3 linked regions of the Stegostoma tigrinum genome follow. The main gene of each other region encodes a partner of the protein of the gene in region 2 in a complex. Links are inferred from orthologs where the notes say so. Each region holds a gene or a part of one and is shown on either strand. Other genes may lie near its edges.

Region 1 (7,826 bases), on a different chromosome or scaffold from region 2:
ACTGCAATGCTAAACCCAGTGACCTAAAATAGTTCTTCCTTTACTCTACAGGACGATCTCACAAACTTAGGCATGCTGTATCTGATAAAGTCCTATTTTAGAAGTTGAAGTCATCCAATCACACTTCTGAAAGTCTACGTAACATATCACAATACCTTAAAATCAGCACACATTTACCTGATGCCAAATAAATTGATTTCCATTACCCACATTAATTTTAAAAAGGCAAAATTTCGAGAATCCTACAATTAGTAACTTGAAAAACAGTTTGTATGCAAAACAAAATAATGCAAAACTTGAGCAAAGAAAACAAAATACTAACCCTCTCAATGACCACTGCTGACTTTAGAAATGGCCTCTGAATAATAGATACAGTATTTTCCAGTTGTTAAATATATTTAAAAATCCTACAGAAATATGAAATCTAAATGTTAAACATGGGTTGCTGGCTACATTCAGGCTTAGAGCAGTATTAGCCATTGTAAATGCAGTAAGTTAAGCATTGCAATAAACTACTTGCTCAGTTACACTTAAAAAGCTTTGAAATTATTGCTCCTAGAATAGCCCTTTTAGTAAATGAAGCTTTATAATTTATGCATAGTATGCTATTTCAAATTTTCAGCCTGAATTCTAAAGACACACATTAAAAAATAAACCTGTCTGCCAATTTTGCTAGAGTGAAAAACGTTGAGCAAGTCTCTTGTACAGCCACGTTTCCCACCACATACCTCCAAAAAGGATCTACTCAAAACACAAATCAACCATAAAGAACATTGCCTCGTAAAAAAAGTTACAACTGCTATTCAATACTAGAAAGGTCAATGTTCGCCATAGAAAACAATTAATGAATAAATTCCATCAGATATTCTTAATTATATTCGATAATTGCGCTGGAGCCTACTTGCTGAAACAGGGAGGTTCACATCTGGTAAATTCACACGTAGTTTCTTTTATAAACAGCTAAATTCGACAACAGAATGCTGGCAAAGCCAATTTAGCATAGATTTTTGTCAGCACTATTTTATATTATCTTTCTTATTATACAGAAGCACATCATTCACAGTTCTGTTACGGCAACAATTATTTTCCACAAAAAAAGATCTGGACATCAAGATTACATACATCAAAATATTTCACAAATGGAGAATGTTATAACTGACTACAAAAATGGGCATCAGGCATCTGTATTGTATTAATCTATAACCAGCTTTTTCTTCTACACTAAAACATTTTGGAAAAAATACTTTCTACAAGGTGTCAATGTAGTCATACAAATATTGCACACTTGTGCCTTCTGCAGACCAAGATAAAAAGAGAGCAAAAGGAATTTACAAAATGAAATGCCCAAGAAACTGCCAGCTCACTACCGTAAAACATCTGACAACAACTTCCAAATAGTGATTAAGTCGTCTAATGACTACGATTGAAAATAAACACTCAATACTCAGAAGATGCGTAGCATAAACCAGCTACGTGTCATGGACTTTCATCTCATCGACACAAATTTTATACATTTAACATTCACATGAAATGAAGAATTGGGCTTTGCACTGTGCAAACTGTATAGTTTCAACACGAATATTGTTTTGCTCGTTATTCTGCATAAATGATTGCTGTGCAAGTAGTATAAAACTCAGAACACAGTAATATTTCCTAAATAACAAAGCAGGCGAAGCTCTGAAATGAAAATGGACCACTCACGATGGCTGCTGTTACAAAGCCGATCGTGAAACCTTTAAAAAAGAGTACATAAGCACTTCAGATTAAATGCGACCTTTTCACCAACAGGTCTGCATTTGACGATATCTGCAAATCAATTTTCTGAACAAAATTGCAATGTAACTTGTTACAAAACTTTAATTAAACAGGCGGAGATGCTTTGTACAACTATCGCTTCATCTGTCATCTTTTACAATATTCATAAACAATTACTCTCATGGGACGGGGAAGGATGAAAAGGAAGGTACAGGGAAAAATGAAAACTTTTCACCTTAAAATCACTAAGGATCTTTGTCGTTCAATACAAGGACTGATTTTCCACTTTGCAACAGATTGCAATAGGAACACCCATTTTTTTCAGTTACTTTTTTTTTAAAAAGTGTACTTTGAAGGGGTTGATTTTACTAAGTTGTACAAATTTCACGGAAAAAAATTGTACGTAATGAATTTAAATCGAACGTCACTTATAGTTTAAGACTAGCAATACTCCGGAAAAAAATGAAACCAAAGTCAACCCTTGGCCGTTTATCTATGTATTTAGTAAGTTTGCCTTTATTCCGATCAGTCACCTTGAGCTTGTTGGTATAACATTACAAGTAAAACACCAACACCGCACTACAGAAACTCAGCACATGCACGCCACAAACTGGCTGAATTTACTCATCCAACAGCAAATAGATTGTGCCAAATTACGAGCTTGCTTTTTTTTGCTGCGAGGTTCGATTGCAACATCCACAATTTTAAAAAAATCGCATGCTATTTAAGATTTACGTGCGTGAAAGACTGGTTTAAAAAAATTCTGGGGTAAGAGAGCCCAATAAAAACTATCACCTACCTGAGGAGCACGAAATCAGAAAAACAGCAAAAACAAGCTTGGTACCAGCTCCCATGATTTTTTTTATTGATATGTCTTCTTTTAAAACAAAAACCGATTAATTAGAACACAACGATCGCTGTATCGCAGCCGAGGGTAAAAAAATCTTTACGACTCCACCACGTCTTCTGACTTGCTGCTGGCAGCGATCCACCTTGTAGCAAACGTTCCCCCTTCTTCAGTGGGCAACTTCATTCAAAAAGGTAGGGAATTTAAGCGATAGCATACACTTCGGCTGTCAATGTTTTTTTGTTTGACAAAATACATAGACGTGTAGAGCCGATAACGCCAACAAGGGATGATTTGGGAGGAAGAAAAAACAGCCGCCATTCACATAAAAAGTAGAGGGTGTGGAAGAAAACATACGATGCAAACCCTCAGCTCCTTTGACGGGAATGGTGTACTCGAAGTCTCCCGGAATTCATAATTAACGAAGTAGGCCTAAGTCCAAAATGGCGTTGAATTGTTTTTGTTTCCTTCCCCCTACCCACCCCCAACCCCCGCCCCGAGGTGGATTTCAAAAAAAACGGCAGTACGAGCTCGCGAACAGGCCCTCCTCCTAAACAGAGCAAAAGCGAGAAGCGGTGGGGCGAGGCGGTTTACGTAACCCGATTGGCATCGCCCATCACCAGTCACAGCTCCGCCTGTCTCAAGCGTCAGTGTGATTGACGTCCTGTGAGACCAGTAGAAGACCTTCACTGCATTGTACAAATTCGCTTCCACCCTCCTGCGAAAAAAAGGCGCGTTTATTATTGGATCCTGACCAATCCCCTTCCAGCAGGTAGGCGTGACTGCATATATGTGTGTGTGTGTTTTTTTTTGGCGGGGGATGGGGGAAAAGATGTGGAGCAAAGCCGGCAAGTTGGTTGAGGCGAAGCGTTCAAACCTAGCCTGATGGTAATGACTGACGTGCGCTTCCAGCAATCGAGAGCTGCGGCTTTATTAATTGGGCGAGGAAGTTCCAGACTTGCCGTGCAAATCCGATAAGAAGAATTTTGCTAATTGGTTGGAAGCGATGCGCAAGATATGTAGAGTGGGTAGGGTAAAAGCGCATGGTGTCGGAATGCAATCCGACTCCAAAATAGTTGTAACTTTTCGCTGATCTTAGCTTGAAAGGTCCTTGAAGTTGCTGCATCTTTCATTGTTGCACCTGCCTGCTGAGATGCCCCAATGTTCCTTCCCTGCTTTAGTCGTCTTGTTAGCCAAGTTAAAGGCTAAGCTAAGTCAGTATTCGGGGTAATAAATATTCTTCGAATAGCAGTCTCTTGTCGAAATATATTATTTCCGTGTCAGCCCAATGTTGCGGCTCTCTCTCTCCTAACAGTGAAGGTGAGGGCTCTGAGGGTGACATATCAAATTAATTAGTACCCAGTCGTGAGTTTGCAACACAGTCCACTGTTTTAAAGACTTCGGTATTGTGATTCATCCGGAACTTATTTTAAACATATGTTATTACTGTTTCGGAGTTTCTGATGGTGCATGCAATTAGAATTTTTGTCACTTTGGTGCACAGTCACGTACTTCATATGTAAGTGGCAAACTCCACTTCTGAGTTATTTTTTCCGGCTACCGTCGCCGCTCGCTCGACGGAAGAATGTACTGATGGTAATTGTAATTCTTCGATTTACTCAGCGAGTAATTGAACAAAGCTCCTCGATAGTGATTCATAAGTGCTGCTCAGAAATGGTGCACGTGTTACACAAAGTTTGTTCAACCTGAAAAATGCACTATGCACTAGGTAAACTAGCCCCCCAACAATCAGTCCTTCAAAGCTTAAACTAATTTTTTTAAAAATACCGTTGCACTCTGATTGCACCTTTTCAAAAAGTGCAATTCAATTCTAATACTCCGACCTGTAGGAGTGGTATGGGCGAACTGGTTCGGCTGAAATATTTTTCTGCGTCGATGGGGTGTAATGGTTTAAGGTCTCATTAACTTGATCACCAGCAACATTGGTGACCAATCACGTAAAAGAAAATCGGGTCGTAAAATAGATAACCTTAGAATGACGACAGTCAACTGGCATAATTTGGCTGATAAGAAACATTCTTTTTACCTCGATATGTTTGTCTTTCTGCCAACCCCACACTTGTCACTCCTACTAATTAAACCTATTCTTATCATTTGTTAAAACTTTAAATGTAATACCTTCCCACATTGGACCTACACTTCCTAAATCATCCTCTGGAAAATGTTATGGCGACTCCTGCAACATTGTCTATCAAGTTTCTGCGCCAAGCAAACTACTTGCTTCTCATTCCAGTAATGGTAATTAATGATATGTAATCCCGCGCCACTGACCCCAACCTGAGAACTGGTCTGTCAGCAGTTTGAAAATCCTCCGTAACGTTCAGAATAGTGAAATTCTGATAAAGATATAGGCAACAGATTTACTTCTCTAGTCGGATTGCTACATTCGAGTTCAATGTCTTTGATTTCCATCAAAGCTTTGAACCTGCAGAGGGTGCCTGGGTTATCACGTTACGCGGGGGAGAGAAGAAAGTCAGGTTCAGCTGTGCCTGGTGATCAATTAACTTGATATTTATGAAGGCTGATACGTGGATAATGGCTTCTTGAGCTGGTATGAGACAGCAGCTGCTACCTTTTTAACAGGGAGTTAACAAGCGTTAAGAAATGAGAAGGGTGAGGAAAACAATTCATGGGGGAGGGGAGCCTCAACTGCTATTTCTATAAATAGAAAACAAGGCTTTTCTTTCAATTGAGCTATTATTTGATTATTCTTTTAATCTTTAATGTTTTGATGAAATCTTGTGGGAAATTCAACATGCATTCATGAATATCATAATTAAGATGGAAAAGAAGGCAAATATTTTAAAACTGTTAACTTTGGGATTTTTTTAAAAATCCAGTATCTTGTGTAGAGTTGCTTTTTTGTTCTATGTAACAACTCAGAATGCAAAATGGAAGCTGACACCATTTGACAATAAAACACCGATAAATTTCAATCTTCATTATGACCAGTTTATTTACAAAACACTTATGAAGTTTTTTTTAACCTCATCCAGTTTTCTTCCTTCCTTTCTTAAAGTTCAGAATACATCGCCTCCAGGGATTATGTTCCTCAAGGTACTGGCCACATTCTGGTGTGCCACTTTAAATTATTCTTTAGATCTGAGTCAAGTCAGTTTGGAAACCAATCAATCTTAGACGCTGTCACTGCTTAATTCAACAACAAAAATTTGCATTTTATCTAGTGCCTTTAATACTGTGTGACCATAACTGCTTTTAAGTGAATGCCAGATAAAAGCAGTGGTTACTGGACAATGATTAACAGCAGTCAAGAGTGATGATATTGCCTGCTAATTCATTCAAACCCATTTCACTTTGTTTTCTCCATTCATTTATCCCTGCTTGGCATAAAGGCTATGGAATCTCATTGAAACATTCAGAATACTGAGAGATCTAGATAAGGGGGCTGTGGTAATGTTTCCAGCAATAGAGGAGATTAGGACCTGAGAGCAGGGTCTCTGAATGAAGGGAAGACCCTTCTAAACTGAGTAAAACAGGAATTTTCTTAGCCAGAGGATGGTGAATCTGTGGAATTCATGGCCACAGAAGGCTTTGGAGACCAACTCATTGAGTGTATTTAAGACCAAAATAGGTTCTTGATTGATAACTTCTGAGGCCTGCGATTTGAATTTTAGTCATGGAGGGGAGCTGCTGTGTAGAGATTCTGTGTATATAGAACTATGGTGTTGTTACAAAGTTGGAATTAGTGATGTTTTTTAAGTTGCAATATTTCTATGAAAGCTTATTTGTGATTTGTATAAATTATTTCAAACTGAGGGGTTAATTACATTTTAAAATAACCTAAAGATTGATAATCCTTATGAATAAGGGCTATCATTGTGCTTTTACCTTCTATTGTAACACTTCACATTTCTTGGGAAATTGTCAGGTAGGTTTGGCATGACAGTATACCATCAGAACCAAAATAAAATTGAGATGTAATCTTTTCAATGCTTGAAAGCAATTTTAAATCTGCAGCATTTTTAAATAACACGTGGTCAGAGCCAATGAAATGTTTCATTAATGCCTGTAAATGTTGAGTTTGTCAATGCAATGTTCCTGTAATGGTTAAATTTTCCTTTGTGAAAAGGAGCATAAGATATAAACATAGGTGAAAATGCTAGAAGCACTCAGCAGGTGTGGCAGGATCTGTCAAGAGAGAAAGAGCGTCAGTGTTTCTGGTTTGTATTTTTCATCAAAAACCAGACCAAATCAACACAGAAAAGACATTTTTATAACAGTGAAAAAGGGTGCTATTTGGGTTGACCTCCTTTATTTGTAAAAGTGAATGTAAATAACAATGGTCAGATCTTAAGTCAACTTTTTTGTTACCATATTCTCTGGTCACTGACTGATAAGTATTCAGGGCTCATGTAGTGAAGCAAATTTTTCCCCACACATTCCATCATCATTTCTTCATTTCAGTTCCATAAAACAACCAAATGTACAGTTTTATATAACCAAGAAGTGAGAATAAAAGTGCTGTAATGACCAAATAAAAAAATAACTTGGTCTGACTTTGTAAAAATTACAGAACATAGTATGCCCCTTGAACAAAATTTTCCTACTATTGTTATTGGCGGAAGGCCAGGAAAATAGTGGAAACTATGATGTGATGGCATCCACCTGCATTGGCAGGATAGAGTTTTTGAAGGGACAAGGTGAGAATAGGATTGACTCTCAACAGTGACGGCAGCATCCAAATCTAATCTTCCTGAATACTACTTGGAACATAACTAAAATAAAAATGCAAATAATTTCAAATGGTCATCTTCTCTGATACTTGCAACTTCCATTTTACACATTGCATCTATTGAAATTGTGTGCTTGCGTTTAATCTTCCAGAATGGTGGGACCTTGGGAAGCAACAAGGATCAGAAAGCATTTGAATACATGTACACCAGTCTTTTAATATGTCTGGACAGGTGGATGATGTGAAGAAGATGTACAGTATATCTGCCTTCATTAGAAGAGGCATAGTTGAAGAGCATCAAAGATATGCTGGAATGTACAAAATAAATTGGTTAGACCACAGGTAGAGTATTGTGTGCAATTCCGGTATCCACACTACAGGAGAATGTGATGGTGCTGAGGAGATTCACCAGGATGTTGCCTTGGCTTGAGAGTTTGAGTTCTGGAGGGAGACTGGTCAGACTGGAGTTTTTTTTGAGACTCCAAATTAGATTTATTGTCACGTAGTCAG
Region 2 (7,816 bases):
TTATTCTTCTCTGTGGCTATAATTGAATCATACCATTGCCCAATCAGGCTATGTGTTTCAACTACTCATTGTGTTAAAAAAAATTTCCCATGTTGCTTCATGTATTTTCGTCAATTACCTTAAGTCCATGAACTTTGTTTATCAACACTTAAATTATTGGAGATAGACTGGAAACAGAATTATCTAAATATCTCGTGCTTTTTGAATATCTCTATTAAATTGTCTATGAGGCTGGTTAGCTTAACTCCCTACATGGCTTACACATAGGTCAGAATAATGCCAAAAGCACAGGTTCAATTTACACTCTGTTTGAAGTAAGCATAGGACCTTATCCTTGCTCTATCTGTGAGAATGGAAGTCAATGACAATTGGAGACAGGGAATAACTTCTGGCCCAGCCACCAACATTCTCATCACTTGATCAATTGGTAGAAACCAACTACCAACAGAAATGTCAAGAAAATGGCTCAGGTTGAAACCGCAATAGGTGATGTGCCTGCTTTTTGGTTGGAAGACACTTAAATGGAACATAGCCTCAGCTTCTCCAATCTATCCACATAGCTGGAATCCCTCATCTCTGAACAATGCTAGTAAATTTCTTATGTGCCTTTCCAAGACTTGAACATCTTCCCAAAGAACGACACCCAGAACAGGACATTATATTCTAGGAGTGGCTGACAGAGTAATCCATCTCAGTTAACATCCATTCTTTTATACTTAATGCCTATACTTGTCAACTTCAGAAATTCACATCACAGATTCAGACAATGGAAACAGCACTGAAAGAGGCCATTCAGCTTGTTGAGTCTGCACTGGCTTTCTCACAAGCTTCATGACTACATCATCCTCCTGCTTTTTCCCCATATACTTGCACATTGTTTTAATGGAAGTAATCATCCAATGCCTTCTCAGAAGTCTTAATGGCATCTTCCTCCACCACACTTCCAGATGGTATATTCCAGACCCAAGCCACACCTCGTGTGAAATAGATTTTCTTACATCCTATGGCATTGACAAATCACTTTACATCTTTTCCCATCTTGTCCTCAAATCTTTATGGGCAGGAACAGTTTCTCACTATTTACTCTATCTCGACCGCTTGTGATTTTGAAAATTGTTCACATCTCCTCTTAAATACCTTACCACTAAGGAGCATGGCCTCACTATCTCAAATATTTCCTTAAAACTGAAATTTCACATCACTGAAATCATTTTCATGAATCTCTTCTGCTCTCCCTCCAATGCCCTCAAGTGCTGGTTCTCAAAGCTGTTCACAATACTCATCTGAGCACTAACAAGTGTCTTGTGTAAGTTCAGCATGACCTCCTTGCCGTATACTCAAATGTCCTTATTAATAAATCCCAGGATACAATATATTATTAACTGCTCATTTCACCTGCCCTGCCACCTTCACTGATCAATGCACATATGCACCAAGACCAGGGTTGGTTAGCTCAGTTGACTAGACAGCTGGTTTTCAGCACAGTGCGATGCCACTGGCTGAAGTAACCATGATGGACTTTTCTTCTTGGATTCTCCACTTGCCTGAGGAATGGTGACCCCTGAGGCTAATCTACCAACTGTAGACTCTTTTTAATGGGAGACCAGTCTTTTGGGTCTATGACATGTTACCTTACACCTAGGCCCTCTGCTCCTGTACTCCCTGTCTTATATTGTCCGTCCACATTCTTCCTACCAAAATGCAGCATCTCACACTTCTTCACATTGAACTTCATCTGCCACCCATCTGCCCTGTCCCATGCCTGTTTATGTCCCTTTGGAATTCTATACTGTCCTTTTCAGTTTACAAAACCTCTATGTTGTGTATTGTCCGAAACTTTGGGAATATCCCCAGCATTTCAAGATCAAGATCATTAACACATGAAGGAAAGGTATGTAATCAGATATTAACTACTTTGTTAATCTACCCTACTATGTCATCATCTAAGATTTGTGCGCAAACACCAAACCTTCTGTTCCTACGCCACAACATGTCCTCAGTAAGATCCATCTGAATAAGACTTCCTGATAAATAAATATAGTCAAATTTGAAGCTGAAAATGCATTCATACTAGATTAACATATTCATTGTAGCTATGAAAATATCTGAACATTCAAACCATATAGTGATAGCTACAATCGAATGCATTGAGAATTTTATTTACATGTAAATTAAATCATGCACATGCAGATGGCCGGTCCATCTTAAAGGCATGCTGTCACTATTCTGTAATGTCAAGTGTTCATGAACGTGGACACAATTAGTGCACAGCAACATGCCCAATAATGGCACAGAAACTTCCACACATCCAGAATAGTAAAATGTTCTCACAATCCAGCACATACTGGGTCATTGAATGGAAACTGGCACAATGCTGGCCTTCATTATTATTTAATCCACCACTCCCAAAACGAAACAGCCAAGTAACAGTCTAAAAACTATTGGGAAACACACTCATTTGTATTTATATATTATAACTACATACATAAGCACATGTACACACCACTACTTGGCACTGTTACAAACATGTGAGTTCATGAAGAAACAAAGCAGCACACAGCCAGCAGATGGAAGGATACATTCACTTTTTTTTGATGAGGCCAATTCCTTTCTATTTGAAGATTCCAGTCAATCTGTATCCAGAAAAGTTACTGGCACATTGGATTGAATTTCCAGAAATATTCGGCATAGCTAAGATCAGTTGACCCATAACGTACTGGGTTAAAAGCTTCATTTTCTTCCACAAAAAATAGCTAGGGGCTGAATAGAATCCATCCAGAGAGTACAAGTGTTTCAACTGTACTCAGAAAAATTAGGTCTTTTTACTACAGCCAGTGAGGCGGAACAGAAGTGAGCGGTTTATGACAATAGGACTACTAGAATATTCGTCTAACAAGCTCTCATTTAGACGCTAAAATAAAACAAAGAACTGCGGATGCTGGAGATCTAAAGCAAAAGCAGAAATTGCTGGCGGAACTCATGAGGTCTGGCAGCATCTGTGGGGAGAGAACAAGAGTTAACGCTTCACACTGGCCGTGTTAGCAACAATTTCTGCCTTTGGTTCTGAATTAGTCGCGCCGTTTGATTGCATTAGTTATCTACAATGTGGCGCTTTTAAATATCTTGGAGTTGGGGTTGGCGGCGGGGTGAGCAGAGTCTGGAAGAGATATTGGAGGTGAAAGACAAACGCAGAAACGTAAAAAAGAAATGAACACAGGGACAGAGAGACGGCGAGGTTGAGGAAGGGGTACTCTCCCAGCGTGATTCGTTATGTGCAGTTTCACTGATATCTTTACGTGAGCCTGACTCAGTCCTTTACAACACGATGACTTAATGACAACCCCCGTGTTTATTACACAGGCATGAAATACGTCGCGGAAGCCTGTCAAAGCCTGTTCTCCAGACCCGGGATTGGAAACTTTAACAAGGAATATTTGACAACTCAGTATCCTTGAAGTGATAGCCAGCTCCGCCAACTGCGAATCCGGGCGCTACCGCCAGAATGGGAAGTGTTCCATCGGGCATTTACAGTTCCGAGAATTTGTTTCATGTTATGAATTTCAGAACCTGAAAACAATGAAGACAAAATAAACTTTTCGCCCCCCTTCCCCAGGGAGCAGTAGCGCCCGGCTAGAAGCCATTAATTGTCACATTCTGTCATTATACGTAGCGAGGAGTACGCGAAACTGGCTTAAATACGTGACCCACGGATGTAGGTTGAACCTCAAATCATTGTACCTTGCGCGAACTGTATTAGCGATGCAGTTTTGCACCAGCCGTTGACAATCTAACCTTTTGTTTTAGTCCTGTTTTAACCCCACTTCTGTGTTTGTTGTGGAAAACTCATTGTCAGTGAATGAACGCGGTCCTTCCGACATTCAGATACGAGTCTCCCCCTCGCCTCTGGTCCTTTTGACGCGGGTCTGTACTGGTGCGCTGGTTAAAATGCAACAAAGGAGAACAGAGAACTCCACTAGCTTGGCATCTTTCACAGACCAAACCCTCCCAACTGGCATTTAATTCAGCAGAAGGTCTACCGCCTAGATATTTAGGACGGGGGTGGGTTCAGCGAACCGTGCTTATTTGTACCCTGGTTATGATTAGAAGCGAGAGTCAAGCAGGTCTATAAATAAACGACTTAAATTATTTGACATTTTAACTGTTGGAAGGTCCCATCTGCACAGAATTCGTGCTCTCTCTCTCTCCCTACGGTAGCTCATACAGTCTGGTAACAGACGCGCTCATCTGAGAGGAAAGAGAGAGGGAGCCGGTCCCGAAATCAGGGCTGAAATGCCAACTGAGTCTGCGGTGTTTTTTTTTAGATTCGCAGTTAAAGTATTTCAGGAATTCCCTCTCCAATGGGTTAAGAGACTGCAAATACGCAGAAGCACGCATACGTCGATTTGCAATCTGCCTTCCCCTCCCTCCAAGCTCCCACCAACCCCCCCCCCCCCCCCAACCTCCACCCCCAGCCCTTGCCGGCTTATTTTTTTTCCCCTCACACGTTTCGAATTGTAAAAGACCAAAATTTCCCTTCCCCTCCTCCTCACTGGTCCTAACGGCAGGAGGAGAGTACGCCTCCTTTTTTATCCACACCCACCCCCTGCCCTCCCCTCGCCTCGCCACACGCAGTCATCTGTTCCGGTCTGACACTCCTGCCGGTAAGCGCGAACTGTGGTCCCTCAAAAGTGAGGCAGCACTCATATTGCAGCAGTTCTAAGAGGGAGTGAGGAACCGGAGCAGCTCTCCAGTGCCGTGCGTCTCCAGCCTTCAGCACCAGGAGGAGCAGAGACAAGAGAAAAAACTTCACAACTTCCCAAGTGCAAAGTTTGCAGGAGCAGAGACAGATACAGGCTGTCCCAGAGAGGGAGAACAGTTTTACGAAAGGACACCTATCTCATCTCTCCTTCTCCGCCGATAGCCCGCAGCAGCAACAGCATCTGTGCCACCTCCAGCGGGAATCGGAACCAGTTCCTGCCCATTTTTACAAAACTTCTGTCAAATTTATTTTTTTTTTCTCTCTCTCTCTCTGTTGTTGTCTGCAAACGATTTGGGGAATTTCTGCCTCGGCCCCTGCCTCCTGGCTGGCTCCCCGATAACCTGTGAAGAAGATGCCTGGCTTTGACCTGTTGACTGCGATGATCCTGCTGCTGTTGGCTTCGAGTTGGGTGACGGCCTCCCCTACGGCCGCTGCCCAGGACGGACCGGGCTCACAGTGCCCGAGCTGCTCGCTGCCCAAGTTGCAGGGGGATCCGGCCGCTGCTGACAGTCAACTCGTGGAAGCCGTGAAGCGGCACATCCTGAACATGTTGCACATGAAGAGCAGACCTAACATCACTCACCCGGTGCCCAAAGCCGCACTTTTAAACGCCTTGAAGAAACTGCACGTCGGACGGGTGCGGGAGGACGGCAGGGTGGAAATCGAGGAGGACTGGTCCAGCAAGTCAGCCCTGAACGAACCCGAACAAGCATCAGAGATCATCAGCTTCGCTGAAGCAGGTAAGTCACGGCAGTCAGCCATCCTCCAGCCTCACACTGGGTCTCCGATTCGGACTAAAGTGCATTGTAAGGCAAATGTGTTTTTATATCTGCGGGATTATTTATTAATGCAACATCCTCTGTGCAGTACGGTCACAAGGGAAAGGGGTTTAAGGATTGCAAAAGATTTAGACAAGTCTGGATGGGGAATAGATTCACTAGCTGTGTTCAAATTATGAAGGGCTTTGATGGATTAAATAAATAGGAAATTGCTGTCTGTGACAATACGCTTTGAGATCAGGAGGCAAAGAAAACAGAGAGGGGAGATTTAAAACAAAAACAGATTTGCAATGCACTGTCTCAAAGCTCCAAGCAGGCAAATTAAACGAGAACTTTCGGAATGAAAATTGATATCAACTCAGAGAGCACTTTGCAGGGTTATGATGAAAGACTAATTGGCAGCAAGTGCAAAGAGTCAGGATGGATTAAACGGGCCGAATAGCTTTCTCCCAGTGGTGTACGACTGTAGGAGCTAAGCCCGGGACCATTAGTATAAGAAATCAGTAGATCGACCAGCATAATCAGTCGCTTTTTATTCATTATTTGAAATTTTTTTGTTAAATCTGCGCTCGGAATGTCCCGCTCTAACAATGTTCATTTGTCCTCGTCCTTTGTGGCTCTCAGGTCCGTCCCAGGACGTGGTACACTTTCAGATCGCCAAGGAGGAGGAAGGGGACCTTTCCCTGGTGGAGCAGGCTAATATCTGGCTGTACCTGAAGCTCTCGAACAAGTCTAACCGGAGCAGGAGTAAAGTGACTCTGAGACTATCGCAGGAAGGAGAAGGCGGCAGGGTGGTCAGCGAGAAACAGGTAGACATCAAGAGGAGCGGCTGGCACTCCCTGCCCGTGTCGAGGACTGTGCAGACGATCCTGGCCAGCACGGATCGGTCCCTCATGCTGAAGGTATCCTGTGAGCTGTGCCTGGAAGCCGGCGTCTCCCCGGTGCTGATAGAAACCGACGTGGAGGAGTCTCACCGGCCCTTCCTGATGCTGCTGGTCCGGGAATCAACGGCGCACACCCACCGGATACGCAAGCGGGGTCTGGAGTGTGACGGCAAAGTCAACATCTGCTGCAGGAAGCAGTTTTATGTGAATTTCCGAGACATCGGCTGGAGTGACTGGATCATAGCGCCGCCTGGTTACTACGGCAACTACTGCGAGGGCGAGTGTCCCAGCCACATCGCCGGTACCTCGGGCTCGTCCCTCTCCTTCCACTCGGCCGTCATCAACCACTACAGGATCCGAGGCTACAGCCCTTTCAACAACATCAAGTCGTGTTGTGTCCCCACCAAACTCAGGGCAATGTCTATGCTGTATTACGATGACGGGCACAATATTGTGAAAAAGGACATTCAGAACATGATCGTAGAGGAGTGCGGCTGCTCATAAACCCCGTGAGATACACATAATGCAGACAGACTCGGACAGAAAGTCACACAGTGAGACAGAGAGAGAGAGAGTCAAAACAGACACATAGTACACAGATCACAGATTTAGGACAGTTCACCGACTGGGTCTCTCCAGAGCCTATAAAACTAACTCTAGACTTCAGACATTTTCACTCGAGGGTCTGGCAGAGCAATGGGTCGAACTGCACCAAACTCCATGTGGCCCTCACAGCCACCCACTTCTCCCTACCTGTGACTTGACACACCTTCCACTCTTACACACAGACACCTGACTTTTTCTGGTGCGTTGGTTTTGTTCATGTTGTGACACTGAATGGCACTTTCAAAGACAAAATGCACAAGATCTAACTTTCTGTTGTTTGAACGCGGGGCAGAGCTTTACCAAGTAGCTGCACTGTTTTCTTCTTTGCAAAACTACTTCCACGTGTGTAAGATGCCTAAGAACAGAACTATGCAATCTCTTTTTTTTAAAAAAAGGCTTTCTTTGGTTTACCTAAAAGGAGACGCTTGCTTCTTTTGGAAGTAAATATTCAGCTGACGAGAGATACTTGAAAGGAAAGTTCGCCCCGCTGCTGGGCTAAACATTTTTTTTAACTTTGTGATCTTTATGCGATTTGCACTAAAACGACGTTTGCCTGTCTAACCGCATCTTAAACAGAAGTGTTTGAAAGGACAGGGAACTGCACTCAGAACAGAACAAAACGAGTTTCTATGAAATTTTGTATCAACGGTCGAACAGACACCAAAGAGATTTGTGTAAATGTTATTGTGTGATTTCTACAAGGATACTATTTTTAAAAGAAAAACTTTAAAAATGTTTTTAAAAAAACCTGTAGATGAATATGGCTGCAGTATCAGGGTTTGGATTTA
Region 3 (7,841 bases), on a different chromosome or scaffold from region 2:
CATTGCATTCCAATTATACGTACAAAAAGAAAACTCATCCCACGCTGTATTTGTACTTGTTTCGTAATGGTTTGCAGTTTACGCTTTGTGAGGTATCGTGTACGTACTTATACATTTCCCTTCGTACGCCACTCCAATGGTTCTGCCCATCAAGCAGGTGGCGCGTCTGATATGGCAGGCGCTGGCGTACGTGATCCCATCATTGCCGCACAGATATTGCTCGGGGCTCGAAGGTTCAGGGCAGATCCTCGGGTTACACATCACACAGTAGGCGCTGTTTGTCTGATCTACCACACACACAGAGCTGCCTGGACACAAGACATCTCTGCATGATTCTGTAAAACAAAGACAGCAATTAAAAACAAAAGTGAGGTGAGCACTACTGGAAGTAATCTTCTGCAATACAATCGTCTGATTTTATGAGGTTTAAGTTAGTGTTCATAGTAAACACAGATCACTTTTAAATTTGCAATATTTATTTAATAGGCGAGGATTTGGAACAATAAAGAAATGGCGGTGGAATAATCCACTTTCTATACTACCCCAATTACAAACATTTACTGAACGCAATTTAATTTAGGAACAAAATGTGGGGGAAATTATTCTGAACACAAATCAATTCAAAGTTAAAATGCGGGCGGTGTGGAGAATCACTCAATAGACACTGCAAGTGAGTTGAACAATCTGTTAGTTCGCACTAGGAGAGAATGGAATGCAAACATCCTTTAAGCGAGCGGCTCGTCCCTTGCAGAATCGTGTTATTGAGTATGTACTTGTTGCACACATACTTTTACATTTGCCTTGATATTGGACCTCGAGTTCGGGATGCCCTTTGCACCTCGCCTTCAGCAGGACACATTCATCTTTGTATGTTTTCCCGTCTGTGCCGCAAACGGAGCCCTTCCAAGTGACGTTGGAGCAGTCGGGTGCACAGACACATCGAGGTTTATTCTTTTTGTTCATTTTGCACTTTTTACCTGGACCACAATCGACGTTATCACAGGTTTCTATTACAGGGAAAGAAAGACAAGAGTTTTGTGGAAATTGCTTCCATGCATCAATATAATGTTCGAAATGTAAAGTTACATGCCCATTCTTACTAACTGAACTGAGTAATTTATGACAGAACGTTTTGCATTTTTATAAGCTTTCTGTTTCCAGATGTTTAATGCAAGGTTTGATAAAACAGCGCAGACTCAGTCGCCATCTTAACAAACCGCTTAGAAAGCCATGACAATCCAGCGAGTCTTTCTGAAGCAGTTCACTCCAATGAGTCGAGACCGAGTGGGTGATTAGCCAAAGCAAACGCGCATTAGAATCATTTCGCGAGCGATCTGTAAACTTTAATAGGCCTTGCAGGATCCAGTGAAGATGAGCACCAACAGTTCCGAATCAGATAGACCGAGTGAAATCTGTACCTTTACAAGGCGTACAACCCGGGGCTCCACCGTTAAAGATAATCCATCGGAAAAGGGTACTGGATGGCACATCATCTTCGGTCCATGCTGTGCCCAACCTTCCACTTTTGCAGCACTCTTCGCGGCTGACCCCGGTCATGTAAAGAACCTGGCATTTGCCGTTCTTGGCTTGCTGGAGCCAGCAGTTCCCAGCTGCAACACACAGTCAGAGCAGTGTCAGTTTCACCGTTCCAGACACAACACGTGCGCTGTGTATTGACGGTACACGAGTGTTTACTTCAAAGTTTTCCGTCTCAGTCTGGGTGAACCGAGGAGCTTAAAACCACCGACATTTCCCCGCCATGGACAGTAACCGGGTTGCCCCTGAAATGTACACCTCTCTGCCATTACCTTGTGCCTACTTTGAATCGTGACATGTCCCACTTGGAAAGTTACTTGGCTCTGACCCAATACAGCGCAGGCTGAAGTACTGTAAACGCGTGCGGTGGAACAAAAAAAACTGCCAAAACTCATCCTTACAGCGAAAACGCAGAGCGCAAAATCCGAAATAAATAAATGATTGGCGGCCTACTTGTCTCAGACTCATGCGAAAACAAACTTTGGTTGACAATTCGACAAGCGTCTGTATTTATTCTGTATTTACCTACGGCGTCGGTTATGTGTTAAGTGTTAACCGTTGATTTTTAAAAATCTATTCATACAGTCACTCCGGAATAGAAACATAGTCTATTTTCTGTAGTATTAACTCGTTCCAAAAATGCCTGAACTCTGCTGCCTCTTCTGGATAGTCTAGACTTCTTGTTGATACCGCCTGATATCAATCTAAATATATACTGTATATCGAGTTTTCAGTTACATGGAAGAGACTTTGTTGAGGTAGCAATATAGAACAGGCAAATTTAACATCACACAAGTCAATAATTTCCATTGGACCCAGTTATCATACTCGCTTCTTAATCCTGCTTCAGTCGCATGGTGTTACCGATGTGAGCAACATTTAACAGCTCGATCGGACGTTTACATGTTCGATCCATCTGCAACATCAATGAGGCGTTTTGTTTATCAGCAATTCCCCTTTGCTTCTAACTGAATAGTGATCGAGTAAACTTTCACTATCAGGATCCCAGCACATCCTATTTATGCTTAACTATTTGCTCAGAGATAATGCTAAATTGCACCCTGCTTTAATTCTGTACGGCCACATTCTGGTAAATGTGAATTGAGTACACAAACACGTGTGCTACATCGTATTTTGATCTGAAAAGTTTGGAGTAGAAGTAAAGGATAAACCGAATCAGCGTTGGGCTTTATCTTCACTCGAGAAAATAACATGCAGGCACATGACCAAACAGAACATGAAACTAAGAGCCATGTCCACAAATGTATACAGAGAAGAGGTCTCCAAACTGCTTTAACTTACCCTGCACTCGCTGGTCTCCAATGGTGAGGAAGATAAAAAGTGAAATGGTGAGAGACGCTGTTCTGCTGTTTAGCATCCTTAGCATTGTGGCACGCAATTTCACCGCAGCTAAGTACTGATCTGAGAGCACCAGTCAAGTCCGATCGCTGTGTTGAATGAACGTCAATCTGTGAATGCAGTCACTCTTAAATATTTTGGCTGAAAGGGGTCTTGGCTGGTCTCTTTGGTGGGCGGTCTTCTGATGGCATGGTGATGCGTTTGGCAGGATGGGGGAGGAGGAAGTGATCAAAAAAAAGTTAAGGTGGACGGAAACTTAATCAGGTGACATTTCACCGCCTCCTCTAAACTTTTCAGTTAAAATCTCCGTCAATTTCACAAACACAAAATACATCTGTATAACATCCGAGAGCGTAGGCATCCGAGTCTGGTTACAGGTCACAGTGTCAATTTCTCTCTGTAATTGACAAGATTGTACAAGCTCATGGAGAAAGATTGCGGGGGCGGGAAGGGGCTGAAGTAAAATATACTGTTCCTAGGTGTATTAAGGCTTCTGCTTTATTTTGTTCTCTTATTGGGCCACCTTTATATCTACAGCGCAGTAGACATTCTAACCTGTTGATTTTTTAACCAAGCTATATTCCGAAAATAGAAGCCAGACACCATCAGTGGGTCAAAGTAACTGGTCTCAATCTATGCACAAGAAAATATAACAGCAGCCAGAGTAAATGCCGCCCAGCTTTTCTAATCCAATTTCTCTGGTAAAGCGACAACTCCACCCTCAGCTCGCCCATAACCTGTGTACGTAATGTCGATATTTCGTCTCATGTCTATGTCTCGGAGGGTTGGATAGTACTGAAAAGAGTTTATTGTTATGTCTAATCTCCATTAACTCAGCATCAAAAAGCGCGTGGGGTGGTTTTTGCATTGCAGTGTTCTCTTGCAGACTCCTACAGTTTGAACTATTACCAGTATTTTAGTTTTATTATTTATATTAATGATTTCTTGCCACCTGAGTATTTCGGGAAATGCATCACTGTATTAAATGGCTATAGTGCAAACCAAGGACACTGACACCGTGGGTGTGTTCAGCCAGTAGGTATTGGAAAAGCAGTTAGATTTAATACCCAGATCTGGCAAAGTTACGCGTCTCTGTAACTGGAGCAGACTTCGCATGTCTGTGAAATGCCGTAGGCGGTCTCGTATTTTCCATTTGAGATTGTGACATCGAAAGTCGAATTTTAGTGTTGCTCAATGAACTCGCTTTTGGCGGAGAGAAAAAGTACGTAGGCGATCTGTCGCCGCCTATCTCGGGGATTACGTTTCCTTGTTTCATTACCGTTTCGGCGCTATTGCGTTCTGTCCGAAACCTCACCCCAAGAAAAAGATAAAACGCGCGGTCCGACTTTAATTGTATTCAGCCTGATAGGTACAAACAATCAGACAACTTTTTTAGTGTTGATAGGTGCAATGATCTGACTAGAAATAACTCCGCGATAACAGACAGTTTCCACCAGCTGCGGGATAAAGTAGTAATCCTTTAATAAAGACTTATTACAATAGGTTCTTAAAGTCTCTTTATAATAATCGTCAGAAATGCAATCATTCTAATATTAGCAGAGACAGTTGTTTGGGTGCCTCAGGCTGGTGGTAGTAGTTACACTATTTAACGTTCAAAATAGACCTGACAGTGCCATGCCAGCGGACAGTAGGAAAACTTGTTGCACAAGGCAGTTCCACGCAAATAATTTCCGTTTTCAATGCTGCGAAACCGTATTTTCTGTCCCAGATTATCCTGGCCTGTTATTCCACAACATGGCAATTGTGGTTTGATACACGTGCAAAAAAAAACTAATGCAGCCCCCTAACGATCCAAACGAGGCAATTGCAGCTAAAGTGTGCACCAATCGTGATTTCCAGTTTATCTCGCCAAAGCGACCAGAGACTTTCCTTCTTGCCAAATCTAGATTCTGTGTTAGTAGAGTTAGAACCGTGAAAAGTCAACGTAACTGTCACCTGGCGAAGGAAGTCTGGGTTTGAGCAGATACTGGTAAAAAAAACCAAGATAACCTAAAACATACCGAAATACACCTACCATTCCCAAATCAAACTGCGCAGCAGTAGATAACAACATTAGGTAGACGCGAGACATCACATTATATTAGAATTTATTTTTTTAAATAGGCAGTGGAAATTACCAATATGAAGATATTTGTACTGCCATTGTGCCATGTGTCTCTTGCCAATGTTGTTCACATACCTATGTATTTGTTTCTGAAATCCCCTTCCAACGGGAACTACGCACATCTGTCATTCTCGTGATTTACTTCGTTTTATGTGCGTGTCACTCTGGCTATTGGATGTTCAACGTTTGTAATCCAACATCAAGTATCTGTTACAGATTGAGGACTGACGAACTGGACAATCTCACCCAGTTCTGATACATCTAGCGAATAATACCGACTGCTGAGCAATTTACATCCTCAAAAACAATAAAAGGAAAAACAAGAGTTTTGAAAACAAACATAGAATTGACAATAAATTTAAAAGATTAATATTGGAGGCAAACTGACGGGTGTGAAAAATAATAGAAAACAAGTATTGCGCAATATAAATCGTTATCCATAAATGGTAATGAAAATGGTAATGAAAAATCAAGGATAAATGCTGCAACAAAGGGGAATATAAAATAGCACATTAAGATAGTTCCTTTATTGATTCACGGGACGAGGGTGTCCCTGGCTACGCAGCATTTATTGCCCATCCGTAACTTCAGTTAAGAGTTAATCACATCGCTGTGAGTTTAGGTCAGACCAGGTAAGGATGGCAGTTTCCTCCACTGAAAGACATTAGCCAACCAAATGGGTTTTTCCCCGACAATCGATTCCAAGTCGTCATTAGACTCTTAAGTCAAGATATTTTTATTGAATCCAAATTCCACCATCTGCCAATAGCGGGATTCGAAGCGGCTCCCCAGAGCATTATCTGGGTCTCTGGATTAACAGTTTACTGATAACACCGCTAGGCTATCATTTCCCAGTGAGGGGATAGATAGTGAGGGCGGGAAACAGGAATGTCGAGGGTGGAAATTTATGAGAATGAAAATAAAGGAGACTGAAATGCAATTTCCGCTCGTCTACAAGGAAACTGAAGTGAGACCTCTGCAGGACGACAGTTGTATACGCTCATGCACATTTTTGACCCAGTTTCCAGAATCCGACAGGTGCTTGTTGGAAGTTTTACGGATATTGATGAGTTTCATACTAAACTTGAGCAATTAAGAATATGAGTCAAAGTGTTTAAGTTATGGTGACTAACAACAATTTACTATGGCAATCAAAAACTTTAAGGCAATCCGTTACTTCCACTTTGAAAACAGAAACCTTGTCAATTTCATAACAGCATTTGAAACAATTAATCTGCAGCTCCGAGGTATTTACAATATTTGGTGCTTTTCACAAGACTATAACATTGTTAATCAATCATTCAGCAATCCGAATGTGAAACAGAATTTGCGTTCTTCTACAATCCAGAATTGTTTCGATACGAGTACGATATTATTTATCAATATATTTGTATTTGAAGCTGGTTACGAATATGGTTATTTCCTTAGATAATCTAATACGTCAAGCAGCATAGGCCTAGTTACTGCTTCTAATATGCAGAACACTATAGTTAATTCTAAGATCTGAACACAATCCATATCCAAATATTCTGCAAAATTAAATGAAACAAATGAGCTTTACTGTTGTGCCTATTGATTGCATGGAAAAAATAATTAACTAACAACGAGGGGCTTTGGCATTTAATTGCTGGATACCATTTAAGGTAGAATTGAAATCAACGGTTTAGGTCGTCTGTCTCTAAGAGACAAATGCAAACATTTGTCAGCTTTTATTCGAAAAAAGCTTCTATACCCTCCCAAAGCCATTTTCGAATAGCTTGCTACGTGCTTTGAAAATTTAAACATTTTCGTAGCTTTACAAACCATCAGGCAAGTCCTTACTAATTTATAACCATGGGAAGACATTTGTTATTAAATCATCCACAAAAATAAGAAAAATATCAACCACCAAACGGTTAATAAATGCCGGAAATAACCAAAAACACAATAGATCGATCAGCATTTGTAGAGAGCGCCGTCCTGACTGTTTACACTTAATAGGTTCTGACTTCGTAAATTGGTTTTCACAGATATTGACTGCCACGAAATGACTAATACTCTTGAGTACCTGGAATTGTTCAGCGACAAAACAAAGTAAATTACGTATCAAATAAACATGTTCATGAAATGGCGCAGGCCATAAAACAATTGTTTTTGACGAATTTGAGTAACCGTTATCACACCTGTAAGTGATGCACTTGTTCGATCGAGGTTGTCAGTAGTCAAAACTAAACTTGGCAATTGAGTAGCACCCCACTATGAGCATTTATTTCAAATAATTCAACAGAAGGAATTGGATTGTTATGCTCGATGTTATCAGGCAAATTCTCACATGGACCTCAAATAATACCAAACTAACGGGAAAGTACATATTACCTTTAACTTCCCTGAACGTGTTACTTTCGGGACGCGAAGTATCCCAAACAATATATATCATCATAAATATCGTCGTAAATGTCAACAAGTTCTAAAGAAGTCTTGGTGTTTGGTACGTGTCAAGAGGTCCCTTTTACAGTCAATCTGACATACTTTCAATATCTTACTGAAGATTGTTTTAAAAATCAAAAACAAAGAAACGTAATTGCACTAACCGATGCGTGACTAGCACCTTTAGGTTCAACATTTTAAAAATAAAATCAGATCCAAGTTGTAATTTACTATATCAAATTCATGAATACAGCAATGCCATATAATGGCGCAGTAGAAGGGAAAGGTAAATGTACAGTTTCATTAGTCGATTTTCCTGACTGTTTGATATATTCATTGTTAATAAATAGAGTTGAATGACGACCAGAAATCCAATAAAGATGAAACTCTGCTACTGAATGTAAACACGTTCATA

Evidence for each region. Proteins that work in one complex are often made in the same cells at the same time.
Region 1: the proteins of inhbab (region 2) and acvr2aa are in contact, whole or in part, in a crystal structure (PDB 7U5P), measured with the Homo sapiens proteins. The link is inferred for Stegostoma tigrinum from reciprocal best matches to the Homo sapiens genes INHBA and ACVR2A. Residues at the interface, in NP_002183.1 of Homo sapiens: Ile340, Ala341, Pro342, His346, Arg397, Pro398, Met399, Ser400, Met401, Leu402, Tyr404, Asn409, Ile410, Ile411, Lys412, Asp414, Glu421; in NP_001265508.1 of Homo sapiens: Asn36, Asp53, Lys56, Phe61, Thr63, Lys65, Val74, Lys75, Cys78, Trp79, Leu80, Asp81, Asp82, Ile83, Asn84, Val100, Phe102.
Region 3: the proteins of inhbab (region 2) and follistatin-A-like are in contact, whole or in part, in a crystal structure (PDB 2P6A), measured with the Homo sapiens proteins. The link is inferred for Stegostoma tigrinum from reciprocal best matches to the Homo sapiens genes INHBA and FST. Residues at the interface, in NP_002183.1 of Homo sapiens: Asp315, Phe327, Asp337, Trp338, Ile340, Ala341, Gly344, Tyr345, His346, Gly360, Thr361, Gly363, Phe368, Thr371, Arg397, Ser400, Leu402, Tyr404, Asp405, Asp406, Gly407, Gln408, Asn409, Ile410, Ile411, Lys412; in NP_037541.1 of Homo sapiens: Trp33, Arg35, Val44, Leu45, Arg60, Phe76, Met79, Asp135, Glu152, Pro154, Glu155, Val180, Val181, Asp182, Gln183, Tyr188, Val190, Arg221, Thr224, Cys225, Arg229, Ser230, Ile231, Gly232, Leu233, Glu328.

What each region holds. Positions count from the first base shown.
Region 1 is NC_081360.1:83,447,196-83,455,021, reverse strand, and holds the start of acvr2aa (activin receptor type-2A), read right to left. Parts: upstream 3,083-7,826; 5' UTR 2,610-3,082; coding exon 2,555-2,609; intron 1-2,554. UniProt on the Homo sapiens protein: On ligand binding, forms a receptor complex consisting of two type II and two type I transmembrane serine/threonine kinases.
Region 2 is NC_081358.1:9,313,775-9,321,590, forward strand, and holds the start of inhbab (inhibin subunit beta Ab), read left to right. Parts: upstream 1-4,734; 5' UTR 4,735-5,111; coding exon 5,112-5,499; intron 5,500-6,162; coding exon 6,163-6,926; 3' UTR 6,927-7,816. UniProt on the Homo sapiens protein: Inhibins/activins are involved in regulating a number of diverse functions such as hypothalamic and pituitary hormone secretion, gonadal hormone secretion, germ cell development and maturation, erythroid differentiation, insulin secretion, nerve cell survival, embryonic axial development or bone growth, depending on their subunit composition.
Region 3 is NC_081354.1:127,252,264-127,260,104, forward strand, and holds the start of follistatin-A-like, read right to left. Parts: upstream 3,083-7,841; 5' UTR 2,924-3,082; coding exon 2,839-2,923; intron 1,611-2,838; coding exon 1,419-1,610; intron 1,008-1,418; coding exon 789-1,007; intron 336-788; coding exon 108-335; intron 1-107. UniProt on the Homo sapiens protein: Multifunctional regulatory protein whose primary function is to antagonize members of the transforming growth factor beta (TGF-beta) superfamily including activin, myostatin, GDF11 or bone morphogenetic proteins (BMPs).